Linked DNA regions of Caenorhabditis elegans. The protein of the gene in region 1 interacts with the protein of each later gene in a pairwise test. Each region holds a gene or a part of one and is shown in the gene's direction. Other genes may lie near its edges. The genes, in order: idpb-2 and Y73F8A.5.

Evidence for each region.
Region 2: the proteins of idpb-2 (region 1) and Y73F8A.5 interact in a two-hybrid assay, tested with the Caenorhabditis elegans proteins (one large-scale study listed by BioGRID).

What each region holds. Positions count from the first base shown.
Region 1 is NC_003280.10:5,067,941-5,071,439, reverse strand, and holds idpb-2 (Intrinsically Disordered Protein, class B), read left to right. Parts: upstream 1-1,814; 5' UTR 1,815-1,831; coding exon 1,832-1,888; exon of another isoform or gene 1,889-1,935; coding exon 1,936-2,150; intron 2,151-2,410; coding exon 2,411-2,705; 3' UTR 2,706-2,792; downstream 2,793-3,499. Other genes in the region: C27A2.7 (C2H2-type domain-containing protein), read left to right, coding at 77-256, 561-632, 774-847, 923-1,076, 1,454-1,582; C27A2.8 (Protein sleepless), read left to right, coding at 3,464-3,499.
Region 2 is NC_003282.8:15,258,107-15,263,000, forward strand, and holds the start of Y73F8A.5 (uncharacterized protein), read left to right. Parts: upstream 1-1,761; 5' UTR 1,762-1,949; coding exon 1,950-1,957; intron 1,958-1,974; exon of another isoform or gene 1,975-1,995; intron 1,996-2,222; exon of another isoform or gene 2,223-2,249; intron 2,250-2,324; exon of another isoform or gene 2,325-2,349; intron 2,350-2,601; exon of another isoform or gene 2,602-2,622; intron 2,623-2,920; exon of another isoform or gene 2,921-2,941; intron 2,942-3,249; exon of another isoform or gene 3,250-3,270; intron 3,271-3,705; exon of another isoform or gene 3,706-3,727; intron 3,728-3,750; coding exon 3,751-3,944; intron 3,945-4,003; coding exon 4,004-4,208; intron 4,209-4,247; exon of another isoform or gene 4,248-4,273; intron 4,274-4,330; coding exon 4,331-4,444; intron 4,445-4,462; exon of another isoform or gene 4,463-4,486; intron 4,487-4,667; exon of another isoform or gene 4,668-4,688; intron 4,689-4,710; coding exon 4,711-4,894.

The sequences.
Region 1 (3,499 bases):
TATTTTCATGTTGAACTACTTTTCCAAATCCTCTACTGACAATAATCATTAAATCTTTAAATCTTTTTCATCAGGTATGACCTCAACTATGTCATTTGGCAGTCCCAAAATAGATTTTGGAAAGAAATCTTCAAACCTTGAACAGAGTATTCAAAGAATCAAAGTTCGCAAGAGTCTTCTCATGGCTCAGATTTGTTTATCGGACAAACCAGATTTCACTTCCAAAGTGGAGAACAACAATCAACAATCAGAAAAGGTAACTGATAGGTTTTGATATGAGCTATTCTATATATGAATATTAATCTAATTTTCCTGACAGTTCTAAGATATTGTATATCCCCTATTAGTATTGTATGTAATACTTTTTCCATCGATTACTCTGAGTTTAGCTCTTGTAAATATTTCAATTTAATAAGATATATTATATTTAAATATTAGACTCACAAACATTTATTGAAATTGAAAACTTTCAACAAAAGACTACAAACTTACAGTAATCCCAATAGTCAATTGTTTTACACATATTTTATCAGTGTATGTTCATGAAAAATATATTGAAGGTCTACACAAAAGCTCAACGGTCATCTGTCAGGTTTCCAACATACGATGGATTGCTCCCCGCTGGCGGAACAGTAAGCGGAAGCTTATCTCTCTTTCTCCTGTTCTATCATTTTTTGGTATATTCTTCTGTTAGCAATTACTTTGAGAACCTTTTTTTCAATTGTATCTATCATGTTCTTTTCCTGAACACCATCAGTTCCTTCATATTTCAGTACATTTGCGATGAATGCAACAGCGACGAGCGGACCCCATTTCAGCTTTGTGAGCACAAGGCAATTTATCACAGGTTTGCCTATTTTTGAAGAATTTAATTTGTTAGCTATAACTTTTGTGTTTATAAATGTATACTCTGGCGTTTCAGTCCCCAAGACCAGAGGGTTTGGAAATGTGTGTACTGTCACACACAATTTGGAAGGCGAGGTGGACTTCGGAGGCATGTTCAGATGGTTCATATGCAGATGATGCATAAATGTCCCGTAGAGAATTGCACTCATCCAGGATACAAGTGCACAAAGGTGGTCATTTCAATCTTTTTATTGAAGGCAGGACCACGCGCTCGAATTTAAAATTTAAAAAAATTAGATTTATGGAGTACTGTAGTCCACATTTCTTCATTGTTGTTTCAATGTTTTCCGTTCGTTTACATAGGAGCTACAGTACTCCGTCATCCATCGGACGTGTCGAGACGAGATTTTGTATCAGTGGTAAAAACCTTTCAAAAAACGTAGCAAGATTCAAAGGAACCTTTGAACTCTTTTAACTTGAAGATGCAGCTCTAGATTGCCACTAGATTACCAAACGTTATAAATGTTTGAGAATTATTGGTTTCATTAATATTGATTTTTCAAGCCAAAAACACCCTTCAAGTCTATTCAAGTCTATGCTCTTTCAGGCTCTGAATGCTCATGTCAGAACTCATACTCGACCATATGCCTGCCATCGGTGTGATGCTAGCTTTGCACGAAAAAACGATCTACAGAGTCATCTATCAACTCATCAAGCTACTCCAGTCATTCATTAATTTATTATATTATCTCAATTTTCCGTTTCTCTATCTATCTTATTACGATTACCTCTTCTTTTTTTCTGTGATTGTACCATAAACCTCAAAGTCCAACGCGATTTCTCGAGGGTATACGGAAGGGTTGAGTTTTGCTTCCGGAAAAGTGTCAAATGCACTACGCACCGCGCAACCGCAGGCATACTTACGTAAATATTTGAGTGATATAAAAGAAAGCATGAATGGTTCAATGATACACTCGAACTTAACATGAACAAGCTCGTCTGCTCCACCTTCGCCATTCTGGCAATAATCGCAATTTCTCAGGTATCAACGTTTCAGGGGACTTGTGTAGAATTCGAAGATCCTTGCAGGTTCAATCAGCAGTACTACCAGTGTCCTCAAAAGAAGTAGCATTAATAACATCATCTGCTTCAACCACTTCATCATCTGAAACATCAATTGATACATTAGGATCATCCAGAGTTAAAAGACAAGGAGGATGTGGTTGCTGTGGATGCGGATGCGGATGCTGCGGATGTGGTGGAGGAGGTGGAGGAGGATGCGGATGTTGCTGTTGTAGACCAAAGTAAGTTCAGAATTCGACACTTCTACTTTTTTAATTGATAATTCCAGAAATGTTACATTCACTATTTGAAAGATCTTTAATCCTTTAAATCTCAAAGTTTTAAACTTTGTCGTTACGTTTTCAGACTCGTCTGCATCTTCAGCATTTTCAGAATGATGTAGCAAATTTTAGTTCAAATTTTAGTGTAGCAACATCTTTCTTAAAAGAACAGTATCTTTTAGGCACATCTGCCGTTGTAATTTAAAATTTAAAATTTTCAGATGCTGCTGCTGTTGCCGCCGTTGCTGTACATGTTGCCGTACTTGCTGTTGTACAAGATGTTGTACTTGCTGCCGTCCATGTTGTTGTGGATGTGGATGTGGATGTGGATGTTGTGGATGCGGAGGTGGAGGACGTAAACGTCGTTCTCTTCAGAATCTCCGTATTGCTTTGGCTAACAAAATCGAAGGAATCGCCAAAGTCGTGAAGGGATCCGCTGTAGAAGCTTCAGTTATGAACGCATTGGCTCCTGTCAATGATGCTACGGTTGAAGAGAAGAAAGACGTGATCAACTGAGCGATGCGTTTGTTAAACTAATTTAATTAATTTAATTTGAATTCTGTGATTCTCACTTCAGAGAAATAAATAGTTGATTCTCTCTTGATTAACGCAAATACCAAAAAAATGTTATATACATAGAATTAGATAAAAAACGAGTAGAGACAAAGTTCAACAACGTTGTTGTCCATACAAAGCCTTGGAATTTACCGGCCCCCAAAGTATGCCTGGTTTGAGAAACGCTGAAAAATCCTCAGAATTAGATCAGAAAACTCATCAGAAATTGTTGCTTGTAGTAGTGAAATTTTCTTGATTGATCTGAGAAGCTTAAACTTGTTACTAACTTTTCAATAACTCGTCTCATTCTAGAGAACCTGAAAGTAACCGGGAGCTTGTGTGGTAAAATTATTCTACATTGGAAGAAATGGCATATTTCCCTTTTCCCCTATTTTACATTAGGTTTCTATTTTCAATTTCGGTTCAAGAATCATCAATTTTTAATTCCTAGTCCCATTTAGAAATAATGTCGCAACACTCATTCTTCATTCCCAGAGTCTCGCCCATTTCTTTCCCATTGAAACACTAGCTTCTGGTTACCATGACAACTCCATCCTTGTGCTCCAGTAAAAACTGCTCTGTCTCCTCCTTCTCTTTATGCTCACTGCTCCCCCTCCCCACATATATACACCCTAACACGCAACATAATCGCATGTGTGGCCACCATCTAATCCTCCAACGAAAAGCTGCTTCTGTGCTCATGCTCATCCGATAATATTATGCGATTACCACTTCTTTTGACCTGCTTTTTGCCG
Region 2 (4,894 bases), on another chromosome or scaffold:
ACCTATTCGGTGTTAAATGCCGTGAGTCCATTGGTAAGATCATTTAACAAAAAGTGATAAGATGGTCCGACATCTACCGGTTTCCGCCTTTCCCGTCTGCTACGATACTTAAAAACTGCACCAGTGAAACAACACATTTCACGCAAAGTCATCGAAATAGCTCACGACATTCATAATTACTGAGGTTGCATGACTTTTAGGTTTTTTAATGAAAAAATTGGATTTTCACTTCAATGAAGCTTTTGAGATTTTTTCCAACTTTGCAAAAATTAAATGATTATTTTCAAATTCCCGCGCAATCTAATGGCCCAGTTTTGGCATTTTTTGTGTTGTCCGGTTAAATTCATTGCACTTTCTTCAATTTTCGCCTAACATTTTTCAATTTTTGTCTAACATAGAAAATGTTGGAATAACTTCACAATTTTTTAAAGATACTTTTTTCGGTCATTTAAAGTTAAATCCTCAAACAATTTTACTGCATCTTCAAATAATATTAAAAACAAAAGTTACAAATTTCGAAATATTCTAAAAATTGTCATTTTCTTGATACTTCGGGCAGAAACTTGTTTTTTTTCTCAAGTTTTTGAAAAAATGTTGAACAACCGGTTTTTATTTCAGTCCAACTGAAGTGAAATTAATTTTCAAAAAAAAACGATTTGAAAATCAGCGAAAATTTTCCACTGTTTCGCGTTGCTTATTTATTTCAGAATAAAGTATTAATTATTATTACCAATTCGTCATGTTTATGCATGTAATTTACATTCAAGGTCATTTAATTTTTTGAGAAAACAAGATCGCCGGTTTCACTATCCTCTTAATATCCAATACATCCTTCTCAAAGGGAACACAGAACTGACAAAATAATTATATTTTTCCTATACTAAAAAAAAACTTTAAAACAATTTTATCAGTCGAATGTTTCATTTTCAGCTTTTTTTTTCAAATTTGTACAATTTTGCATTCATTTTTGCAAAATTTTTTTTCCGCCCACAATTTCATTTGCACTGAAATGCGGCTTAAAAACAACGGAGTGTCGTTGCGTTGCGTTTATTTTTGTGCGATCGTATTTTTTCTATAATATGGCGCAGTGCAGTACTTATCAAAAACCCAAGGTAATTGTTGTATGCTGGAAAAAATTACATTTTAGGGCACTGTTTCATGTTTGGCATAAAAAAAACGTGTTTTTACATGTTGTGTCAAAAAAGAGTAGAAGGAATCAGGGGTGTCCGGCAAATCTCAAAATTTGTCGAGCTCGGCAAATTCGGCAATTTTTAGAAAAAAAAATTGAATCGACCGGTCTCTGTCTCTAACTAAAGTGCAATTAACGTTCAAAAAACTATTTGAAAATTAGCGAAAATTTTTTACTGTTTCACGTAGTTCATTTATTTTGTGAATAAAGTATTAATTATTATTCTCTCGCCGTGTGCTTCATGTCCCCCAATTTATGCATTTAATTTACATTCAAGGTCATTTAATTTTTTGAGAAAACAAAATCGCCGGTTTCACTATCCTCTTAATCAATCCAATACATCTTTCTCAAAATGAACACCCATCTGCCTTTAAATAATCCAAAATGCATTTGCATTCTCCTCGTGTCTCCTTCCCTTTCCGCCTCACGACATCCAATATCGATATTCTGTGGGAGAAGAGGAGATGCTGAAGGCGTGTGATGGAGCAGAGGGGGACAGAGAGGCGCAGAGAAAAGAGCACGTCTTCTGTTTCTCTAAACCTCCTCATCTCTATATTTTTCAACACAGAGCTTCTCCCTGTCTATATTCTCTTCTAAAAGCGGCTTTTTCGTTTTTCGGATAATTAAAATCGACTACTGGTCTTCCAAATTGAAAAATGTGGAATCGAATCCGATAGAAATATTCAAAATATACTATTTCTGCCGTTATTTTTCTACTGATCTCTTATCTTGCTAAGCCGATTTGAGCGCTGATATCATTATGCTTTGGTAAGATTTTTTTTGATTTTAACCTAAACACGCGAAAACTGAAATCTCAAAAAACACGAAGAGATATACTTTCAAAATGAAACAGAGAATTTTTGAAATAATTTTTTTTGAAGAAAAGCTCAAGGAAATATTAGAGAATGTGTACAATAAAAATGTTTAACGAAAAACTGAAAATTATATTTCAAATTTTACAAAATTATATCACCATGATTAGCACTAAAAATGCGCACGAAAGTTCGAGAACAATTCTTATTATTAACTACATAAACAAGAATTGCGTTCGAAAACAATATTATTTAAAAAATAAATGGACAGCTATACTTTCAACATGAAACAGATAAAATTTGAACTTTTTTTTGTTTTGAAAAAACTTAACTCATCAACCCTAACGAATAAAATTTGATTACGAACAACTATACTTTTAAATTGAAACAGAAAAAAAATAATTTAAAACACGTTTTTGTTTTTTTGAGTGGCATTTTAGTTTGTGTGGTTAAATATGGATTTTTACCATAGAAATAGTTTTTGGCACTTTTCAATGTTTTTGTTCTAAAAAAAACCAGTAATTAAATAACATCACTAATATGCTCATTTTCAAAAATATGTGGCTTTCCTGAAAATGCAACATCTTATATTTTTCGACAAGTTAAAAAAAACGAACGTAACCACTTATTGCTCAAAAATGTAATTTTCACCTTCAACATGAAACAGAAAAAATTTCAGAACAAAGTTTTTTTAAACAGATTTATTTGTTTTGGAAACATAGTAGTTTAATAAACATATCTAGTTTCTATGAAAGCTCTTAAAAATTGGTTGTCTTCTGAAAAAAAAAAATTAGAAAAAAATGTATGTTCAGTAACTAGAAAAAACCACATACCATCCAAAAATCATTTATTTTCCTACAAACTATATGACCATTGTGAAATCTGCGGAACAGTCGATCTAAAAGTTTCCGGAAAATTTTGAAATGAAAAGAACAGATCATTAAATGTCAAAAAATATGTAAAAGTTTTATTAACATATTGAAACAGTTGTTTCAGAAAATATGCCAATATTTTTTGTTTGAAATTATACAAAAAAAAAGCAATTTTTGAGGAGAATAATTCGAAAAGATCAAAATTTTTTGTCACAAAACGACTGCAATTCACAAGAAATTGAAAAATTTTTTCAAATTTTTCCAGCCAAAATTGAAAAAAATTAGTCAATTTTACAAAAATGTTGGGTTTTTGAAAATATAATTCGTCGAAAAAAGGCATCAAATTCAATACATATACGAATGGTATTTAGTATGTTCACCTACTATGTACTAAGAATTGTTAATAAAAGTCTTTTCTTAATTATATGCACATTGTGAAACAGAAATATTTTTTTGTAAAGTTGTGAAAAACAGAAGTTCACATTTTTAAACATTTCAATAATTGAGAGAGCTCTAATCCCAAAATTTTTTAAATAAAAATCAGGTCTTATTATTTTTGAAGCAGAAACCACAAAAAGTGCATTTTTCATTTGTTGACAAAAGAGCAACCTCGCTCTTATTGGAAAAGTAGATCTACTCGGATTTTTTTATTTTTTTTGATGAGAAAAAAGGGGTGTTTGAGCTTTTTTTCATAATTTCTGTTATTTTAAGCATGGTCAAAAACTATGGAACAAAGTATGCACATGAAAAGAAAATCTAGATATTTTGAAACAAACAAAGTTTTTACTGTTTCACAAAATACATAAATGTCAGTTTTTTTCTTGTTTAGCAGTTTAACAGTTAGTAAGCGGCACTAAATACCAAAAAAAAATTTCAGGTTTCATATCACAATTCTCCTCATCATTTCATCATTTATCTCCTTGATAGCTTCTCAACAAATTTGCACAGATCAAGATTACGAGTTCACGTACACAAACTGTGATGAAAATGGAGAACGGTGGAGAGTTGCGGTGCCACGTGGCGGAATGCAATGCTCCAATTTACCGACTCCGAGGAGAGGGTTGAATTGCTGTGAGTTTTGGGGTTACTAGTTGTTACGAAAGCACGAATGATATTAAAATTTGTTCCAGCATTTTCCTGTGAGCCGGGGCACTATCTCGATTTGGACAGTCAACATTGCCGACCGTGCAATCCTGGATTTTTCAGTCTTGGCGGTGGAATCAGATACGAGGAATTCGTAACTCTGCCCAGTGGGTTTTCAGTAGACAATATGGATTCAAATCCAGATGCACAGTTTTCAAATCGACAGAGCCAGGTGGTCGAGTGTCCTAAAGAGTGAGTTTTTGACATTTGTTGTGCAGCAGACAGCTAACGGGCGCCTCATCAAACAACCTATCGAATAAATTTATTTTTTCTTTAAAATTTCTCTACAACCTGAAACATTTGAATTTTTGCAGAGCCGGTTGGGTTGTCAAGGACGGTGAGCTGATCTACATTCCAACACCGTGTGTGTCAAAACTCTCGTTTTCCGCGAATCTTGTTCGACCTGGATCCGTGGAGTTTACATATAGGTGAGAGGGATTTCGATTTTGCTCATGAAAGGAGAAGCCGCAATAGAGAGCATATACGTTTGGATTAAATTCAAAATGTGAAACAGTTAAAAATTTTGCTGTTTGGCAAAAAAAAAACTCGGCAACGCCCATGAAAATATTTTTTCGTAAAATTTTGATTTTACGAAATATCAACTCATGTTTCACTTTCTTCATAAAAGCCAACCAAAAAATATAAAAGTGATAAGAAGTGATACTTTTTCTTTGTGAATCCAAAAAACTTTCAGAATGCCCCGTAACAACCGAGCACTTTCCATGCAAGTTGACATTCGAAATGAGCAATGTCAGAGTTACAATGACGTTGCCAAGTCAATGTTTTTGAAGTATACGAAAAAAGAAAAAGATGAGGAGGAGAAGAACGGGGACTGGCGGAAACGGAGGATTGAGTTGAAGAGTGGAGCCAATGTAATT